Lonchura striata: one gene and its partner. The protein of the gene in region 2 binds, or shares a complex with, the protein of the main gene of each other region. Links are inferred from orthologs where the notes say so. Each region holds a gene or a part of one and is shown on either strand. Other genes may lie near its edges.

The links.
Region 1: APOO (region 2) and MICOS13 share a complex: the UniProt entries of both Homo sapiens proteins name them as parts of the mitochondrial contact site and cristae organizing system (MICOS) complex. The link is inferred for Lonchura striata from reciprocal best matches to the Homo sapiens genes APOO and MICOS13.

What each region holds. Positions count from the first base shown.
Region 1 is NC_134630.1:4,052,845-4,063,354, forward strand, and holds MICOS13 (MICOS complex subunit MIC13), read right to left. Parts: upstream 3,868-10,510; 5' UTR 3,803-3,867; coding exon 3,774-3,802; intron 2,621-3,773; coding exon 2,464-2,620; intron 1,716-2,463; coding exon 1,664-1,715; intron 1,236-1,663; coding exon 1,138-1,235; 3' UTR 569-1,137; downstream 1-568. Other genes in the region: HSD11B1L (hydroxysteroid 11-beta-dehydrogenase 1-like protein), read left to right, coding at 5,159-5,247, 5,903-6,029, 7,174-7,285, 7,661-7,752, 8,735-8,828, 9,150-9,312, 9,550-9,724. UniProt on the Homo sapiens protein: Component of the MICOS complex, a large protein complex of the mitochondrial inner membrane that plays crucial roles in the maintenance of crista junctions, inner membrane architecture, and formation of contact sites to the outer membrane.
Region 2 is NC_134604.1:103,814,067-103,824,878, reverse strand, and holds the start of APOO (MICOS complex subunit MIC26), read left to right. Parts: upstream 1-6,097; 5' UTR 6,098-6,137; coding exon 6,138-6,146; intron 6,147-9,909; coding exon 9,910-10,017; intron 10,018-10,812. UniProt on the Homo sapiens protein: Component of the MICOS complex, a large protein complex of the mitochondrial inner membrane that plays crucial roles in the maintenance of crista junctions, inner membrane architecture, and formation of contact sites to the outer membrane.

The DNA.
Region 1 (10,510 bases), on a different chromosome or scaffold from region 2:
ACATGGTGTGCCTTGCCCAAAGTGGTTCCATTTGGTTTGTAGTAAAGCCAGAGAGAGGAAGACTAGATGAATGTCAGGATCTCTGGTGGGAGGTTTGGCCTGGTGAGAAGGGGGAGTAGACCTGGAACCCAAGTTGTGCTCCTTCAAGAGCAGTGGACATTGGAAAGTTAGAGAAGAAATGGTGCATTAATAGAGAGGCTATTTGGGTTCTGGGGTGCAGTGAAACATCTGGCACCTGCAGGACAGAGCTCAAGGTTTACTGAGCTTGAAGCTTCCTCTGGACCATCTGGTTTAAGAGCTGCTGATGGACCCATCCTTCAGGAATTAACATAAGCCATTTGCATCTTAGCCAAATCCTCTGAAATCTATGGGCAGTTGGCTTCATCGTGTTATCTATTTGTTAAAAAAGGAAACAAAACTGTAAATCCTTCTTCATCCTCATGTTCTATATTTGCTTCCTGACTTTTGTAAGGACTCATCTCTCCTCCTGCTGTTTCCTGTTCTGCAGCTGTGTTTGGCACATTCTGTAATTGTAACAATCCTATCAAAGAGGGTTAAAAACACAGAATCAATTTGTAACTTTTATTTTACAAGTGGTGCCCTCCAGGCCACTGGTGCTCCTTACATTTGCTTGGGCTGTGACCGAAAAGTGACATTGTGAAAGTTTTCATCCACATTAAAACGAAAATGTGCACAGTCTGCCAATTGGGGCATAGTGCAAGCTAACAAAAGGTTTCATGCAGATAAATTTTGATCAGTTACTCTCCCCTGTACTTTTATAATCCTCCTAGGCCATCTTTTACAGCATCTTTTACTGTAACCTTGGATTTTTAATTTTTTTTTTTAACTCTTGTTGGCTTGGTTTGAATTAGATGGCATTCACCTTCAAGATTAATTCAGCTTCAGGATAATCTATTTCATTTCTAAGTTTTAGAACAGCTGTTCTCAGCACATGGCCATCACTTCATCACAACTATCTGTGATTCCTGGAGCCTTGGATCAGTGCTAAGACAAAGCAATTATTCCACTCTGCAGGCTAAAACCAACCCAAATACAAATGGAAGTTCCACCAAAGTCTTTTATTGTAGCCCTTACACAGCCAAGCTGCCCTCCAGAGCGGTGGACTGAGAATCCTGTTCATTTCACAAGATCCTTCACGTATTTCCAGCCTTCCACTGTGTATTCACAGGCCCTGGTGGGAGCTACAGACAAGGCAGACATGACTCTGTGCACCCCTGCAAGCAAAGCAGAGAAGAATTACCCCAAGATCATCATTCAAGCCAAATTTCCCGATTTCCAACACCACCACTGTAAATCTCTTTAAACCCTGAGCATTTGTGACACAGAAATTCCAACTTCAGGGTCTGTACATGAGCTAAGACAATTACAGGACTGAGCTCAGTTCTTTGTTTAAGTCCTGTTTTATTTCTGGCCTTGCCACAGTTACAGTTCTGGACATGTCACAGTCATTTGTGGATTGTGTTTCCCCACAATTACATAAAGATTCTTTGCTACACCATAAAACCTGTGTATTACTAGGTATTTATAACAGGCTTTGGCATTCAAGCAAAAATGCCTAAAATTATAATAGCAATGGGAATGCTCATCCTTTCTGAAAAGCCAAAGACTGAGCTCAGAATCAGGTAGTGAGCAGTTATTTTACCTTTATTCCAGTAAGCAGAGAGGGAAAAGTCAATTTTTGGAGTGGGTGGGAGCTAGGAAAAAGAGAGAGAAAATATCAGCACTTGAGGGGTTTCACTTGGAATTCACATCACCTTGGCAAAACCTCTTGACCTCAGATCTCAAAAATACTTGTGTGCCTACTCTCCATAAGCCTCAAAAGTGACCAGACATGATGCTTAAAGTCTGGGCTTTGCTCTTTCCTGCAATATAAAGTAGGTGCAAAAGATAGAACATGTTATTTAGGTGCTCCTGAAAAATCATCTACTTGGGTGTCTCTGTTAGTTTATAATTGTTTGTAATATGAAGAATCTTTTCAAACTTTAAGCAAAGGTTTCTTATTTTCTGAGGATTTTAAAAACTAAGAGCTACTCATAGAGGAGGGGCCTCTTCAAGCAATTTAAATTCAACTTGAATTGTTAGCAATGTGAAAAAATGGGAGGATAATATTTTCATTGTTTTTCTTAAAAACAAGTAGGATCCTTCAGAAGAAAACTACATAGTGAAATACCTCCCAGAGCATGTTTGCAATTCCCCCCCTTGACCCTGCATAGGCTGCTTACCCCTCTCCTTTGAAATAACATCTGTGAGCAATGTCTCTGCCCCAAATTTAGCATTTTATTTGCCTTCCATTTCAATCCTCTTCAAAATATTTGCAATGTGAAATCCAGTTTCAGCAGTAAAACTCCTACCAGGCTCACCAGAATCAGAATATCACCCCTATATTTTCTCTTCCTGATTCAGAGATGTTTGTGTTGCAGGGATCACCCGAGCAGCCCTTACCTCCCAGCCCAGGTAATCTGTCCACTCTTGGATAGTTGGAGGCAGCGTTTCTTGAGCTTTTCTGAGTGCTTCAGCACCTTCTATGCCACTGCCCAGCAGCCCCTGGTCATGTGCTACGTACACAGCAGCTCCAGCCAGGCCTCCTTTGATCAGAAACCTGAAAGAATTGGAAGCAGAACAGTTCAGTTCATGTTCTGACCATCAGTGCATCTCTTTCAGTGGTTGTGACTGCCAAAGAGGGTATCAGGAAAGAAATCTCATGTCTTACTGGAGGTAAAAATCAGCAGAAAAATACCTACCTATGTTCCTTGCCTTCCCAGGACAACTACTGCCTGTCAGCCCCTTGAAACTACTTCTAATTCACATTTTATCAGTGTTGGTTTTCAATATAAAAATAAGAAAGTGTCAAGTTCCTCAAGAACATGTGCCACTTTTTAAAGCCTGAGAATCACTGGCATATTCCTCTGCTGAAAGCAATTAAAGAATTCTGCAGTGGGCGAGCCATCCATGTTAATAATGTGGTTCTTCTTGATAAATCTGATATTTATCTAATAAATCTGACAGATACCAAGATCTTATTATGCTCAGTGAACACCTGGCCATGGTGTTTGCATTGCCAAGGCTTTTAAAGTTTCCTGCATGATGTGCAGTTACCAGTTTTACTGCTGTGATGGCAACCTACAAAAGGGAAGACGGGAAGAGAGTATTTGGCATTTATTGGCATTTCCATTCTAAATAAGAGATCGGAGGTAAGTGACTTTCTCAGATACACAGAGGAATGTTTTCCCTTTAAAAAAAACAGCCAAAGTTATTGTACAACCCAAAACTTGGCAGACAGCGGTACTGCAGTAGTAGGACAGATACAATAGAGCTGACAAGAGCGAACCAATTTTTAAAGTCGTGTATTCACACGCATTTCGGGGAAAAGCGATCTTTCTGCTAAAAGGCACTGTTGGCTCCCAAGGATACCCTTCCGCACTTCCTGTGGGTGTACGAGCAGCTCCGAGCCCCGCGCTACTCCCGGGTTTTGTTACGCGTCCATGTCCGCCCACAGGGAGCTGCAGGGCCCTCCCGGCGTGTACGAACACACACGGGGAGCTGCGGGGGCAGGCGAGGCCAAGGGCGTGCAGCGAAGCCAGCAGAGCCACGGACAGGGCCGGCCGCGGGCCTGGGGACGGGCCGGGGACAGCGGTGAGCACTGAGGCGCGGGGAGCACGGGGGGAACGCCGTGCGGAGGGTGCGGGGGGGCCGAGCCGAGCCGGGCCGGGCCGGGCCGGGCCGGGAGGGTGGGCAGGGCCCGCGGGACTCACTTGACAACGGGCAGCAGGCGGGCGGCCATGGCGGCGGCGGCACCGGGACCGTCACGTGCGCGCGCGGCCCCGCCCGCGCCGCCGGCGTCAGGGGCGTGAGGGGACGGGCAGGGCTGAGGGCGTGAGGGGAGTGAGGGGAGTGAGGGGACGGGCAGGGCTGAGGGCGTGAGGGGACGGGCAGGGCTGAGGTTGTGAGGGGCGTGAGGGGACGGGCAGGGCTGAGGGGCGTGAGGGGAGTGAGGGGACGGGCAGGGCTGAGGGCGTGAGGGGACGGGCAGGGCTGAGGGGCGTGAGGGGAGTGAGGGGCGTGAGGGGACGGGCAGGGCGTGAGGGCGTGAGGGGACGGGCAGGGCTGAGGTTGTGAGGGGCGTGAGGGGACGGGCAGGGCTGAGGGGCGGGAGGGGAGTGAGGGGCGTGAGGGGACGGGCAGGGCTGAGGGCGAGAGGGGAGTGAGGGGACGGCAGGGCTGAGGGCGAGAGGGGAGTGGCAGGACTAAGGGCGTGAGGGGCGTGAGGGGACGGGCAGGACTTGAGGGGTGTGAGGGGCGTGAGGGGCGTGTGGGGTGTGAGGGGCCGGGCAGGGCTGAGGGCGTGAGGGGACGGGCAAGACTTGAGGGGTGTGAGGGGCCGGGCAGGGCTGAGGGGCGTGAGGGGACGGGCAGGGCTGAGGGCGGGAGGGGACGGGCAGGGCTGAGGGGCGTGAGGGGAGTGAGGGGACGGGCAGGGCTGAGGGCGAGAGGGGAGTGAGGGGACGGGCAGGGCTGAGGGGCGTGAGGGGAGTGAGGGGACGGGCAGGGCTGAGGGGCGTGTGGGGTGTGAGGGGCCGGGCAGGGCTGAGGGCGTGAGGGGACGGGCAAGACTTGAGGGGTGTGAGGGGGCCGGGCAGGGCAGAGGGTGTGAGGGGCCGGGCGCGGCTCCTGCGCCTTTGTGGCGCTGTCCCCGCCGCCCGTCTTGTCGCGCTGTGTCGCAGCGCGGTGGCGGAGCAGCTCAGCCCGCTGCTCCTCTTAGCCAGACAAGGCTCCGTCCTGTGGGCGCTGCCGCCGCCTCCCTCCCGAGATCCGGCTGCTTTGGGGTCACTGCTGCCAGATGTCATCAGTCTTTAATGAATTAAGAGTTCTCTAAGATTAGCCACTAAGATCGGGGGGGTTTCTCTCCTGTGGTCTGGCGGTGTGTGGAGGCTGGCTCTGAATGCAGAGCGCTGCGGGAATTGCCGGTGAAAGATCCTTCCCGGGGGAGAGACCCTTCAGGCGGGCTTTGGTTCTACAAAACCCTTTACGTGCCTCTCCCAGGGCGGCTCCAGGAATCAGAGGAAGGAGAACACAGTATTATTTTGGCTGAAGTGCTCAGCTTCAAGACTTCACTTTGTTCCTCACAGCTTGGAGGGATATGAAGCCAATTGGAAAAGTGCTTTGTGCTACAGGGGCTGTAGCTAGGCTCATAGCTTTCTTCTGGAAAGATGACTTCAACCCAGGAAGGCTCACCAAGCTGAAATAAAAGTTACACAAGGGAAGAGGTTTAATTTCCAAAATTTGACTGATGGTCTCATTCCTACCCGTAGTCTTACTAAAGTTGGTTGCCCCAAAGCAATGTTTCATTCCCAGAAACAAAGAGAAACTTGAAACAAAGAGATACTTGAAACAAAGAGGAAGACAAAATGGTCTAAGAGCAAGGATCCTGTTGTCTCTGTGGGGGGAAAATGACACTTTGCTACTGCCTTGCTCTTTTTATGTTTTGGTTGTAAATTCCTTGGTGTCAAGAACCATTTCTGTAGGTGTGCAGTGCCTGGCACAAGAGGGCTGATGTGTCTCCAGACTGATGAGTAAATGATATGCAGAGAGCACATAGCCTGGTTTATGTTGTACAGCTTCTCAGAAGGTGAAAAACAACTTGGTTCTTGAAAGATTTTGTTCTAGCAACCCAGGCTAGGCCCTGTGACACAGCTAGCTGGCATCATCATGTCATTGCATCACCAGTCCTGCCTCTTCTAGTTTTGGAGAAGCACCAGGAATTTTGAGCAATTAGGTGGGTGCATCTTTCTTCTTTAAAGCTCTGCTAGTATTTAAGGCAGCTCGTCTGCTCTTTCTTCACTTACTTCTGTATCTTTTATTCTCTTTCCCATAAAAAAGAGAGCCTGTCTGGTGCCTGTGTTCTCATAACTGGAGCCAGTGCTGGGATTGGAGAGCAGATAGCATATCATTATGCCAGATTTGGGGCTGAAATTGTGTTGACTGACATAAGGGAAGCTGTGCTGCAGAAGGTAAGAACCTCATCCTTGTATGGGGGAAGACATGAGAGATTCGGGCTTTTACTAAGCCAACAAAAAAATTCGTTGTCAGCATGATAGATTTTCCTTCAGAACTGTTAAGCATAAACCCAGAAGAGAAGTTGGCCTGTACAAGAAGATGCAAATACAGTGCCTGAGCTTTTAACTGCCTGAACATTTATTTATATGAGGGGATGGTGTGAAGCTGCATCAGGGAAAGTTCAGGCTGGACATTAGGAAAATGTTCTCCACTATGAGGGTGATCACTCCCTGTTCCCCAGGGAGCAGTGGTCATGGCACCAAGCCTGTCAGAGTTCAAGGAATATCTGAGCCACATCCGTAATGATAAAGTTTGGTTTGAGGGAATCCTGTGAGGAGCAGGAATTTGGATTTGATGATCCTTATGGGTCCTTTTCGATTTGAGATACTCCATGAACTACAATTCTTGTGCAATATTTTCCAGATTTTCAGAGTCCAAATTGTTCTATTTGTAGCTGTTTTGTTAAAAACTCAAGACTTTTTATAGGTTAAATGCTTTTTGACTAACTCCAACAGATGAGATTCCATCTTTATGAAATGGAAAATATTTAGAAAGGTTAACTCTTTAATTGTGGAGATGTGTGACTTCCAAGGAAGGATCTTCACTGTGAAATGGTGCAAAAGGTGACTTGGGGACAGTGAGTGTAATAATAGTTCCTAATGACTGGAAGGCATTATTTCAGCAAATAGCTAAAATAATGCCAGGCACATTCACACACTCAACATAGCAAAGGAATTATGAAACATGAATTCTTTTCCAGTTATTCTGGAAAAAAGAGAAGAACTTAATGTAAAGCATAACTCTTGTTCCAGAAGATTTCTCCTGAAGAAGATTGGGGTTTTTTTCAGTGAATCTTGATCCTGTCCCAAAGTAGATCGTTTAAGCAGACAGTTAAATAGAGGCAACTCCTTGCAGGATGCAGATTCAAAGTCTGGATGCAGAATGAGCTCTCCATGCCCCAAACAGCAGTAAATTTTAAATTAAAGTGTGTCTCTGTCCAGAACTAACTCTCACTGACTGTAGTATGTGCTTTATGGTGCCCTTTTCCCCTAATCTTTTTCCAAATATTTTAATCTTTGGGATGTGTTCTTTTTCAAGGTAGTGGAGAAATGCCTGACACTTGGAGCAAAGAAAATATTTTATATCGCTGCAGATATGTCTTTCCCTTCAGAGCCTGAAAAGATGGTTCAGTTTGCTGTCCAAAAGCTGGGTAAGCATCCTGAGCATCTCTTTGGCTTTCAGGTGTAAGCACAATTCTCATTCTAGGAGCTTCCTGCTTCAGTTCCTTCAACTGAGAAAGGTGTTAAGGTTGTAGATGTACCACCAGAACTAAGTTCTGAGCCTGAATCATGCTGAAACATCATTTCAGGGAGTTATTGTTAAAATCAGTTTTCCTTTCAGTTCTATTCCTGAGGAGCAGTCAAAGCTGCTCCCAGTTGGGCATATTTAATCTGTCTTCATGGTAAAGCACTTCCAGCCTTCTGAGGGAGTGGTTGAGCCCTCCTGGCATTTCTGAGCTCCCCGATTGATGGTCAGGGGATGGGCCCCTTGTGTGACTGTGTGACTGCTTTTTCTGCTGTCCAAGGGGGCCTGGACTACCTCGTGTTGAACCACGCCAGCACCAACTGCTTCCAGGAGTGGGCTGGAGATGTGGAATACACCTGCTGGCTCATGCCGGTGAGGCTGCCCAGCTCACCTGGAACTGGGTGAGCCTGGCTTTTCCTGCAGCAGCTTTGGGAAGCTCCAAGGCAAATCCACATCTGTGGCAGTGGTTGAGACAAGCAGTTTGGAGGCTTTGTTGCTAGAGAGGTGTTTTGCTCAGATGTTGTACATTTGTGAAGAGGAATGTTCGGGAAGAACTTCAGACTTCTTCCTTCTGTCCTTCTTACCTCCCTTTAGCCGAGTTTGGGATTGATGGGTAGTTCCAGGCAGTTGTGTTTAGTTCAGGAAGGTCTCTAAGTCAGCAGCCAGCATTTCCTACTAGTCTATGGCATGTACACAATTGCAGAACACAAAGTTGTTTGAAATGGTGTCTGCCATTTGAGTCTCTGTTAACAGATTTAGAGTTTTCCTGTAGAATCACTCTGGTGCCAGGTTTTGGGGCCATGGAAATGAAGAGCTGTTTTCTTGATTCAGTCTTCTTCATTCAGGTGGGTCATACTAGTTTCTATTTCATTTTGGAAGGAGTCTTTTTGCTAGAGTGTGGGAACATAGGAACATAGGTAAGAAATTCTTGAGAGCAGTCAAGCTCTGAAGAGATGCTGAATTTTGTGCCTCATTGTAGTCTGAGCTCAGTCAAGAGAAGCTTACAAGGAAACTTACAAGAAACGTAGCAAACTGAAAGTGGTGTCTTTGGTAGGGATTGCAGAGCAAAGAATAGCATAAAGAAAAAGCAGGGACAGCTAATTTTATCTTGTCAGGAAATCTGCATGTTAAAGCCCAGGCATAACCTTTGCTCTGGATCTTCTTCTGGAATCTGAAAGACTCATGGATGCAATGCTTGTCCCCATCTATAGAGATGATTTTTCTCATTTGATGTTTGAGAAGGCAATTCCAAACCATGCTCATTTCCATTTCTGATCACTCTACTGACTTGCTTGGCTCACGCTTCCAAACCCTCTTGCTTCTTTATAATAAATGTCTACATTTATTATTCCAGGTGAATTTTTTTAGTTACGTGGCTCTTGCAACAGCAGCTCTTCCCACCCTGGAGAAGAACAGAGGTGCTCTGGTGGTTGTTTCTTCCCTCACAGGTTGGTGATTTTGCCTGGAGTAAGTAGAAAATATTACTTGGCCTTGTGGAAAAAATTATTCCCAGTACTGTTCATATTTCTCTATTGTTCAACTCCTAAATACATTTTCAAACTGTGCTTTTAATAGTATATAATAATATTATAATAAATAATAATATAGTAATAGTATTCTAATATACTTACATAAAGGGAGACTCACCTGAACAGAACATGAGCTGATACTGTATGACAAAGCCTGCATCTTCTCCCAGATTCCCTCACCATGGATCCTCCTTACACCCAGTTTCCTGGGGTTTTCCATTCTTTCTTTTCCCTTTCCAGGGAAAATGCCCACTCCATTCACCACTTACTCTGCCACCAAGTTTGCACTGGATGGATTTTTCAGTTCACTGTGCCATGAGCTCATCATGCAGAAGAAAGATGTGTCTGTCACACTGTGCATCCTGGGCCTGATTGATACTGAGTCAGCATTGGAGTGCACCAGGTATGTGTTTCTCCGCAGGAATGCATCTCTTCTAGAAAACATGCCAAAGTATGCACAGCAGCTCTCTCCAAGAGGGTGTGTGCATCTGCCTGGGGAGGGTGAACCTGCCTGGGCACACCACAGGGGTTGTTCATTATGGAACGGGAGCAGGCAGAGCCCTGTGGGGTCAGCGTGCCCAGCTCGAACCCCAGCAGGGGCTGCCTGGCTTGGAGCGACCCTGTGCCCGTTGCCTTGCAGGGGCAAAGTGCAGCTCAGAGCCTCCCCGCTCCTCGCCATCGTCCGGGGCGGGGCCACCCGGGCGCACGAGATTTTCTACCCGCGGTGGCTGCAGCAGCTCCGCTGCCTCTGGGCTCTGTTCCCCAGCAGCGGGAACAGCGTGCTACGGACTTTCTATAACTGCAGCAGTCCCTGAGGGGTGCCCGGTCTCATCCTACAGCCCTTCTAATCACATTCCTGCCGTCCCACTAAGCACCCCACTCAACCACTGGTGTCAAGCAGGAGCAGGGCAGCAGTGGTGGCAAAGTCCCCTTTTCCTAACAGACTCATGGTCTGTAATCATGCTTCAGCCATGGTTCTGCTGCTGCTACCCATCAGTCAGAGACCTTTCCCGCTGTTCACTCTGCCTTAGCCCTCCTCCCATCTCCCCTCCTCCTTCAGCCTCACCAGTCTCCTTTGACTGCATCCAGCCTTTGCTCAGCCCCAGCTTTAACCCCTCCCTGTCTGTCTGCACAGGATGTCCTGGAATAGCTGTACATTCCAGGGACATCCTCCTCCACTACTTCATTTTAGATTCCCCTTGCTTCCTCTAAGTAGAATTTTTATCTCTATTTTATATTAAACAAGTTTTTAATGTGTTGGTGATATGTGTTGATGCTTCCTCTGTGAAGAAATATTGGTCCCCTGGATTCTGTGGGCCAAGGTCTGTTTGCTGACCCCATGTGACCTGTTAGATTAGCCCAGGGCTTTGGCAATGTCTTCAAGTGTAAGCATTACCTAAAAGCAGGTGCAACAAACAACATGAAGGAGAGCCCCAGTTACTTAGCAAGTAAAACTTTTATTAAATAAATTTAGGATTTTTTTTTTGACCAGAGTGAGGAATTTGACATTGACAAAGCTTGTATCGCACCTGTAACATTGTACAGTCACATCAGTAACTGTGATGGAAGAAACTGTAAATGCTTGTTTTAAACCAGCTTGA
Region 2 (10,812 bases):
AATGCTATATTCTATAGAAGCAGTTAAAATTTGGCTCTGTCAGGCTGTGCCCCACTGCCCTGTGCCCCCTTGGTTCCTGCACCATGAGCTGTAATCATGCCAGCCATGGCCCTTGTCCAGAGGGAGTGGGGGGTAGGCATCAATGGTGTCACATGAGAAGCAGTGGGGGATAGCAGTGTGTTAAACAGATCAGGGATCATTAGGGGACACCTCTAAATGACTGCTTTGGTCAGTGATTGTGAGAGACCTATCCTAGAGTTTCCTAAATGCACTTCAGGACTAAGCTTGTGTAAGGTTGCTGTTGCTCCTCTTGGCACATGCTCCTAGAAAGAAGCAATAGTGGGAGGTACCAGATATGGGGTTTAATTAAAATGAGGCAAAGGAATGCAAAGGTGCAAACCCAGCCTGAACAAATGCCATGGTACCACAGAGCAAGGAATGGCAGAAGGACTTCCTGACCAATGATTTCTGCACAAAAATGAGATTTTGTTCCAAAAAGGGTATTTTGCTTCCAGAAGGAATGTGTACCTTTAACTGAAAATTATTTGGTAGACCTAGAAATTAGTTTAGGTAAATAATGTACTACATTTAATATGCATGCATATTTATGAAGATATGAAAATCAATACATTTACAGGCAAATGAGGTAAAGCTATTCACATCACCTTACTAAGAAATTAGGGATTCCTGTGAAAATATTTTTTTAAGGTAAAAAAAATTCATGTACATAATATATACAGACTGGCAATAGATGCAGGACCTTTCATCTGGCTTGAGCTGATTTCCAGAATGTATCCTGTTCAACTGAAATCTGAGGTGTATTTTAATTTTGAAAGGAGTTGGGTTTTGTTCTGATGAGTATTTACGGGCATCAAAAAGCTGTTTGTGTTCCTAGTGCTACTGGTAGCCTGTTACCTGGGCTTTACTAGACAATCCACACATTTCTGGTGGTGGTATCAACAACCTGTTGATAGAATGACAGAAGAATTACTCACTGTGGCTGGAAGGAGTAGCTGAAAAATGTGGAACCAGAGCTACTGGTGGCTGCAGCAAGAAGCCAAGGATTTGAATTAGGGAAGGGACATTAGGGTTTTTAACCATGGTATATCAAAAGTTAAATAGATGCAGTTGAATTATACTGAGGTTTTTGCATTATGTATGTCTCTCTTCTACCTGCCCCTTGTCTTATTTTATAGAATCTTTATTTGGAAAGCACAGAGTGTATTCTGAATGCTGTCAAAATGTGAGAAAGCTGGTGAGACAACAGGTGCTGAAGTTCGTCCTGGTTTACCTCAGATGTGAATGCAGTAAAGACTTTGCTGCAATTAAAGGTAGGTCAGTGAGAACACAAATAGCTCTGCAATGGCATCTGTTCTCAACACCCAATTTACTTTCTGAATGTGTGACTTTGCTTCCAATAAAGGGCCTTTGACAAAGGTCGAAAAACGACCAACCTTAGCTATTAAAAGAAAAAGCACAGGGTAAGTTTCACTCTAAATAAGATGGTATTAAATAAAAAACCTGTTCAATTTCTGCTTGTTTTTGTTTTTTGTTTAGGAAGTAAATAAAGTAGAAAGGATGAAGGGGTATTCTTATGGACATGCAAACTACTCCCCTTTACAAAGGTTTTGTGAAAAGTGTCATCATGCACACAATAAAAGGCAGTTCAACTAGCTGCCTAACAAATATGTGCTAAAAGTGACAGGAACCTGAGAAATGGATCAGTGCTTTTCAGACCCGCCCAGCAAAGCTGTGTGCCCCCTCCCAGCACTGGGTGAAGCTGTTAGCAACTGAAGGTTGCATTTACTGGAGCCCTTGTTTTTGTGTATTCCCAATTAACTACATGTTTTCAAAGAACTTGAAGAGAGATCTGCCAAACAGCATTATTTCCACTTACAACACAAACAAAAAGCTCTAAGAGGCAGAAGAGCGGTTTATTTTATAAGGACATCAAAACCCAATTCTGAACAGGCTGGCAAAACTGTAGTGACAAGTCATGGTACTTTTAAAAATCACTTGTTTTAATGAGAAAAGGTGCATGGAAGAACATGGGGGGGGGAGGGTGCTGAGGTTGTTTGTTTTAATACACAGAAGAATTATGAAGGAGAACATCAAACCAGCCTTCCAGAATTCTAATGTTTTCTAGTAATCAGTGTGAGTAGGTATTTGATGGACAGATGTTACACATTCATATTTTAAACATTGGAAAGCAACAAATCAATTTTTCTCTACAATTATACATGTATGGCAAAGAACTGAAATTATATTAGTAGTAAAGGAATGATTTTATTTTTCTGACCAAAAAAATAAACTGTAAACAAGCAATCTAATACAACATTATGAAAGTTCAGACCATAATAACTAAGGCATTGGATTAGAGATCTAATTTCTTAAATTGTATTTCTGCCTGTGATGACATAGTTTATGAAGTGTGGCAACATTTTCAAGCTTCTCTAAGCTGCAGTTTTCTGAAGGAAATGTGTCTTTCACAAGTGTTTACAAAAGCCAATTTTCTAAAAATACTGGCATGCAAAATCAAACTGAAATTTGCTAGAGGTCCTTACATTAGAAACAGCCAGGAGTCAATCATGCCAAACCTCTTTATTCTGTGGCCTCAGCAGCAGAAACTTCCATTCCTTTTTAAGCCTGTCTGACAGTGTTCTGGACCGTGCATAATCCATTATGCCATATATTATCCTTGTCCCAGGGAAATTTGGCAGGGACAACTTCTCCAGTATAAGAGAGGACTACACCTACATGAAAGCAAAGCTATTTTTATTGTTCTCTACAAAGGTTTTCCCATTTATTTTATTCTGTCTACCAATAGTTTTAAAGATTAATATCCACATTACCGAAAAAAGTGCACTGAAGATACCTGAGCTAATAAAATTATTTGAATTAATTTTTTTTAAAACAACCATCTATTCTTCAGACACTTATATCTGTTTTACATAATTGTATTAATAATTTCTATACAGCCACTGCATATAAATTGACAACAAAAATATGTATTTGTAACATTTACACATTTTATGTCCAGAAAGAATTGGAATGTTCTTTACTGTTCATGTACCAAACTTAAAAAGAAATATTCTTATGTCTGCCTCCTGCAAAAATTGAGAAAAATTGAGGAACAGTTGATCCTACCCATGGCATGGGAGTTAGCTTTGGTTGAAAACTAACCAGAGCAGGTGCCACTATTCACCTTGATGTCATCACTCCTCTTGTGGCCTCACTTGTAATTTTGAGCTTTGAACATTTTCTTTCTCAAACTCTTTGAGAATTACTATTAAAATGCATCAAAAAATGCAACTGCTTTGCAAACTACACCATCACTCCACATCCTGACAAAACCTCCACAAAATGCTACCAATCAGTCTTCTATAAACATTCGCCTCGCTCTGGCTGCTTATATTCTGTAAACGATTGTACAAAGCACGGTGCAATGGAGAAAAAGGACAATTGGTGTTCCTCACTCATTGGTCACTTGGGTGCATTTTAGGTTTAACTTTTCTGTGCTAAAATATTTATAATGAAATCAAATAAAATACCAGTATTGTCTGTGGGTACTGGAGCTCATCTTGTACCATTTGTTCATGGTATTTCTGCTGTCCTGTTAATTTGCTGTTAAGGAGCATTGCTCAGTTCTGCAATGTAGTGGTTAAACTGCTTATGTTAGGTCTATAAAGAATCTGCAGTAAAGAAATGTAGGAATTTTAAGAGAGAACAACAATTACCATCACAAAGAAGATCGTGCAAGAGTGCATACCTTGTACTGTTCCTGATGAAGTGTTTGCTACCTATTCTTCAGGTGATTCACCTTTTGCATTAAAATTCTAACATTTTCCAAGACTAACATGGTGCTATTCATAGTCTAAAATCAGTGTTAGCTTTTTTCAAGAAACTGTGTTTGTTGAACATCTCCAGGGATGCTGACTCTACCACCTCTCTGGGCAGCCTGTTCCAAGTCCATTTTCTCATATTCATCTCCCACTGAGTTACAAGTCAGTCACTGTGGGTTGTAAACAACAGCCTCTCTTGCTGCAGATGTGAGCAGAAAAAACTTGCACCTGTCCAACTCACCTAAGTGAGCTGGGAGATGCCACAGGGGATGCAGAGACCAGAAATGTAAAAATACTGAGAAAAGGGTGCTTGATTTTTTTGTTTGTTTTTAATATCGTGAGATAGAAAGGCACAGAACCCTACCCATGCACTAGCCCCATTGTGCTGGTTTTGGCTGGGGTAGAGTTAATTCTCTTCACAGTGGAGGGTATGGGGCTGTGTATTGGATGAGTGCTGAACCCAGGGTTGATCATACAGAGATGTTTTTGTTATTGCTGAGCAGGGCTTACACAGAGCCAAGGCCTTTTCTGATTTTTGTACAGCCATGCTGGCGAGGGGCTGGGAGTGCATGGGAGTAGACGCAGCTGGGATAGGTGATCCCAGCTGATGAAAGGGATATTCTGTCTCCAACACATGAGTAACAAAAACATCTCTGTATGATCAACCCTATGTTCAGCACTCATCCAATACACAGCCCCTTACCAGCCACTGTGAAGAGAATTAACTCTACCCCAAACTAAATCATGCTCACCGATGTGAATTATTCTGGCAGTGAGCCAGGAGGACACTGATGTGGCAAGTGTATTTCTCTCCCTCTCAGGATTTTTCATAGAGGTGCACAGAGAGCAGTTAGAGAGAAACCAATTTCTGCTCTTTGTTTTCCTGTGTGGAATGTGTTTGGAGAATTGTTTACCTGAAGTGAGTGCTTGATTGGATTCTGGCGAGGATTGTTTGAGCCTGATGTCCGATCAATCCACCTGTGTCTGCACTCTAAAGAGAGGGTTAGGAGTTGTGAGAATTAAGAGAAGGTAGTATATAGTTTTAGTATCTTCCTTTATCTAGTATGTTAACGTATTTTAGCATAGTTATAATAAAGAAATCATTCAGCCTTCTGAATTGAGTCAGACATCGTCACTTCTTCCGATTGGGTTGGCCGGCATTTGCAATGCAGGGGAGCCGGTGAAGGGCGTGGGGAGTCCTGCGGGGAGCGGCTGAGGGAGCGGTGTGTGTCCGGCCGGCTGAGGGGGCCCCGGCACTGCCCGCTCCAGCGCGGCTCTGCGGCCGGCGGCAGGACGAGGACACAGACCTGAGCCGCGCCGGAGAGCCTTTAGTGGGACTCAGCAAGAATTTCTTCACAGAAAGGGTGAGCAGACATTGGAATGGACTGCTGGCGGAGTCACCGACCCTGGAGAGGTTTAAGGAAAGGCTGGACGTGGCGCTCAGTGCCATTAGCTTTTCTCAAGAAACTGCGTTTCTTGAAGACGTCCGGGGATGGTGACTCCACCAGCCTGGTGGTGCCGTGGTCTAGCTGACGTGGGTTTGGTAACAGGCTGGATTCGACGCTCTCAGAGGTCTTTTCCAACCTCATTGATTCCTGTGACTGATTCTGTGAACGGCCGAGCCTTCCTCACAAAGGTTGCAGGGCAGCACAGGGAGCCGTGCGGCGGGGCTGAGGATCAGCGTGCAAGCGCTTTGCTCCCACAGGAGCCGTGCGGCGGGGCTGAGGATCAGCGTGCAAGCGCTTTGCTCCCACAGGAGCTGGGCCGTGCAAGCGCTTGGCTCCCACAGGAGCCGTGCAGCCCAGCGTGTAAGCGCTTTGCTCCCACAGGAGCTGGGCCGTGTAAGCGCTTTGCCCCCACAGGAGCCGTGCAGCCCAGCGTGTAAGCGCTTTGCTCCCACAGGAGCTGGGCCGTGTAAGCGCTTTGCTCCCACAGGAGCTGGGCCGTGTAAGCGCTTTGCTCCCACAGGAGCCGTGCCGCGGGGCTGAGGATCACCGTGCAAGCGCTTTGCTCCCACAGGAGCTGGGCCGTGCAAGCGCTTTGCCCCCACAGGAGCCGTGCAGCCCAGCATGTAAGCGCTTTGCTCCCACAGGAGCTGGGCCGTGTAAGCGCTTGGCTCCCACAGGAGCCGTGCCGCGGGGCTGAGGATCAGCGTGCAAGCGCTTTGCTCCCACAGGAGCCCGCCAAGGCCGGAGCCCCTCCGCCGCCCGGGCGGCGGCGGCAGCGCGCGGGGCCGCCCCGTGACGTCACGCCGCGGTGACGCCGTCGCCCCGTCGCCGCGCGCCCGGCGCCGCCATGTTCAAGGTGAGGAGGGGTCCCCGGCCGGGCCCGCCGCCGGCCGCGCTCGGGGCTCCGCGCTCCGCCCGCGCCCTCTGCCTCTCTCCTCTCCGCCGCTCTCACTGCCGCTGTCCTCGCAGCTGCTTAGCCGCTCCTCTTAGCGCTTCGGAACCGCGTGCCCTCGCGTTGCACGGAGAGGGGCACACTCCCGATTTACAGCCGCTGCCGGGTGCCCCCCGCGCAGATTCGTCCCTTCCGTACGGGGCTGCCCGCACCGCGGGGCTCTGTCACCGCTCGGTTCGGGCCCGGGCAGCTGTCGCTTGAAAGCGTCGGTTCGATCTTGAAAAGTTTCCTTTTAGTGCCTGAAGGTTGCCAGCGAAACCTGCGGAAAGCCCCGTCCGGCTCTGGCTGTCTCAGAGATTTCTGCCTGTGGTTAGAGCAGCCCCAGATCCCATCAGGCTAAAAGCAACTCTGTGCCAGTCAGATCGTTGTTAGGCTGCTTGCTTAAAAAAAACACCAAACCACCAAAACCTGGTGATGCTCGCTTCTTGGTATTCATTTTCCTTGGTACCATTTTCTGTGTGAAATATTGATAATATATCTAGATACCAGTATACCGAGGATACTAAATAGTAATATATAACATCTCAACATGAGGAAGAACTTCTTTATGTTGAGGGTGGCAGAGCACTGGAACAGCTGCCCAGGTCGTGGAGTCTCTCTGGAGGCATCCAAAGCCCACCTACCAGCACATGTTCCTGTGTCACCTGCTCCAGGTGACCCTGCCTTGGCAGGGGGTTGCGCTAGATGATCTCCAGAGGTCCCTTCCAACCCTGACAATTCCGGAGTCTGTGATACTGATGTGCTGAGCCCTTGCTTGCTCTGCTCTTGTCATAAATTCCTTTTTCTTTATGTCCTTTAATGCTGGAATTCTGTGCACAGAATCATTGAGGATTCCATAATTGATGCTGAATTGTCATTGGAGGGTTGATATGTGAGCCTGTGCATTTAGGCACTATCTGTATTAGTGTATTAGTACTTTTACATAGCCAGTGAGGATTTATGTCCTTCAGGCCAACCTGATGTTATGCCTCTAAGAGCCAAAGGGAAGGTAGCTTTTTGTCCAGGATACTTTTGCTTCAGGGACAGGAATGTTCAAGAATTTGGATTTTGGTTTGATGTTTTTATGGTTTGGGCTGAGAAATAGGAGGAAGAATAGAAAAAGATGAGGAAAACTGTTTTCATACTTTAGGACCAGTATCAGCCTTCTCAAAAGTATGCTCAAGCTTTTCCTATCAAGTCCTAAAGATAAAATTGAATTCTTAGCTAGAGAGGAGTAAATGTATCTTTTTTGCTTAAAATAACTGCAGAGCATTGCCAATAGAAAAGAATGTCAGCTCTGCTTTTCTGATACTGAGTGGCTATAGGACTGGCAGGCTGAAGGCACAGCTCAATCAGTCCAAATGTTTTACTAAAGCAATTGTTTTGGTAATATATGGTTAGTATGGAAATCAAAAATGAGATCCTACAGGGCATTTTGGAAACAAGTACAGCAGCTGATCTTTCATACTCCCAAGTAGTTCTGTGTATGCAAATATGCAGTATTTCAGCAGTAGTTCTGCCTGTCCCATGAGGTAGCTGATGTAGGAGACCATTGAAGTATGATTTGAACAGCACATTTAAGAAGAGATTCAACTTGCACTTTCAGAGGTTAGTTTCATTTTGTTAAAAATTAAAAACAATGGAAAATGTCTGCACTTCAGTATCTTGATAATATAAACAGTTAACTTTTCAGTCTGAGTAGTCCTATGTCACTGATACTGTTTTGTGAAACCCAGGTGCTTCCAGTCTTGTGCTGTGCTATTTGTGTCTTTATATAAAAATCTCAAATATCTAAAACATTTGGTTTTACTGTTTATACTTGTGACACTTAGCACCATTTACACTGTTTGAAAACATATTACAAAGAGAAAATGCATTTAGATTTTTGCCTTTTCAGTGACATAACAGTTTTGCAGTGAAAAAATGAAAGATTGAGGAAATAAACTCTACGGCTATTAATGGTTAGTAGTGTTTGTTTTTGTCCTGGCTAACAGAAGTATGTGAAAAGTGTTTAAGGAAACACTATTAAAGATTATCCTTGTCTTTCCTTGGCTTTGAAACAGCTGATCCAGTCATTGTGGTGTTTCATTTATAGTGATTTAGTAATGAGTCCATAAATTCAGACAAGGAAAAACTTCAATTTTAAGCAAGTTTTTCCATACCTTTTGACCCACCAGATCCCTTACATCTTCCAAAAAACAATCATGTGACCTAGTTCTTGTGTGCTGTTTCTCTACACTTAAATGAACATTTTCAGGAAGTTTCATAACTGTGAAGTCTAATTTTTAGTTTGAGGAGTCTATTGGTTACATTTAATAAGCATTCCATCTGCAAAGCAGTGGAAGAAATTTAAGCTGCAAATGCTTGACTGCCTACAATAAGCTGATGTGGTGTGGATAATTTTAAAGCTATTTTCTAACAGTTCTGTGAGAGACAGAGCAGTTGTGCCGTGGCTGGGCCAGTCACCACCATCACAGTGTGAAGGAGGGATGGTTTGACCACGGCTTCAGTGTCACAAGCAGCTAGGTCAATGCAACAGACCCCGCTATTTGTTGAAAGGAAGAGGCCTTGCTGCCTTCTCCTTTCTCATCCCCTGTCCCCTGGACCATACAGTTCCTCTGGTGCTTGTCAGGCTGTTTCATGGAAGGGTTCAATTTGCTAAGCCCGCACAAAGCTCTCCGCTTCTCTTTCAGGATTAATCTTTTGCCAAATTGGCCAGGTGAATTGCCTCCCGGTGGAAGCATCCGGCCACCAAAGCTAGGGCAAGGTGAGCAGCAGGACTTCTGGGAGCCAGTGCTGGAGAGGAGCCAGACGCCTCCAGTTTGGTGTTAGATCCACTCGTGCTGTAACCTGATCCAGCAAAACACAGGCTGTTGTAACTCTGCACATTTCCATTAATAAAGATGTGCATTTGCTGGAAAATGCTCTCTGAGCATTCTTAATTTACTGTGCAGCTAAGATTTTTTTCTTCTGTTTAAGTTGAAGCAGACTTTCCCTTTAAGAAATTCAGTTTAGCATAGGTCCTGAATACTGGAAGAATTATATCCACCTTACTAGTGGTGGTTGCATGATTGGATTGAATTTATTCAAAAAAACAGTCAAGTAATTAATGTTTCTTACAAAAAGTAGGAGACATTCCTAAAATTCTTGGAAATAATTGATTTTGTTCTGGTATTTATAGCTGTAGGTCTACTTGTTTTCCTAAATCTATATGCAGATATTAAGTAGAAGTAAAACACTGAACTTCTTGGTACTACTATGGAAAAATGGAGGTATTATGAGCATTCACAAAGTTGTTTAAAATATGAGTATAATCTTTGATAAAGAATATAATACATTCTTTGAGAAAGAATATAATCTTTGAATGAGAAAGTTAATACAAAAATTACTTAAAACAAGATCTTTTTTATGAGATGAAAACTAATGAGATTAGCCTTTATTTCTACTGCCTCATTTAGCCTTAGGCATTTTCAAATACTATCTGAGTGATTTAGATGTTACTGTACTACATCAGTGCCTGAGAGCATTAGATTGTGTACTGCTGACCCTCCTTTCTCCTAATTTCCAAGCATCTATTGAGATCACTTTTTACCAAGTAGAGGGACATAAACATTGCCTGGGTGTGTTCAGACACGCTGCAGTTTTGTTTGCACATAATGATGTACCTGTCCTCCGGTAATGTTTCCAGGTAATTCGGCTGGGGGCCACCCCTGTCAGCCTGAGCTTGCTCTCTGTCCAGGTTTTTGCTGCTTCTTCAGAGAAGACTTCCAAAAAGGAGTTGCTGAAAATTGAGGAGGTAAGTGTGGTTATAGCCTTGGTGCTCTTCTAGTTAAAGAATTCTGAAAACATTGTGTTTTGATGTGTGAAAGCATTTAGGTACATCTTATCACCTTTTGTATTCATGCCTTTAAATTTGCTTCTCAATTTTCCTCAACAGAGACTTCTATACAGTTTTGCTTTTACCTGGGCATGGCATTTGATGTTCTTGATAGGGCCAAGCTTGCTTGTGTGTAAGATCTTTTTTCTACATTAAAGTCGTCTATTCTTCATTCAGAAGTTACATTTTCATGTTTGTAGATTTACTTACGGTTATATTTCAAATCCACAGGCATATTTTCTTTGCTTTTTATCCGGATAATACTACTTACTTTTTATTGTAAGTAGTGTTGGTAAATTCTAATATAAATTAATTTTATGTTCTCCACTAAAACAGTGAATCAGAATGTTGTACTTCTAAAAATATTCTTTTTTATGATCAAAATTCTTGTCAGGCAATACCTTGAATCTGCCCTAGTAGCCTGCAGAATTTATCAATTTTCCTTTCTTCACAGTATTCGGACCTAAGCAACAACAAATACAATAAGTAGTGGTAATAAATACCTGTTATGTTTTCATTTCTTTAATATGTTACAAATGTTTTGGTCATAAGTAGAGCCTTAAAATACCCTGTCAAACTGTAGACTCAGCAGCATTGTTACACAGGCTTTTAAAAGCCTCCAACACTAAAAGAATCAAAATAAGTTGTTAGTAACTAAATCCAGCTTTACATGCATGAGAGCATGCAGCTGTTTAAAAATTTTGAGTACTTCAA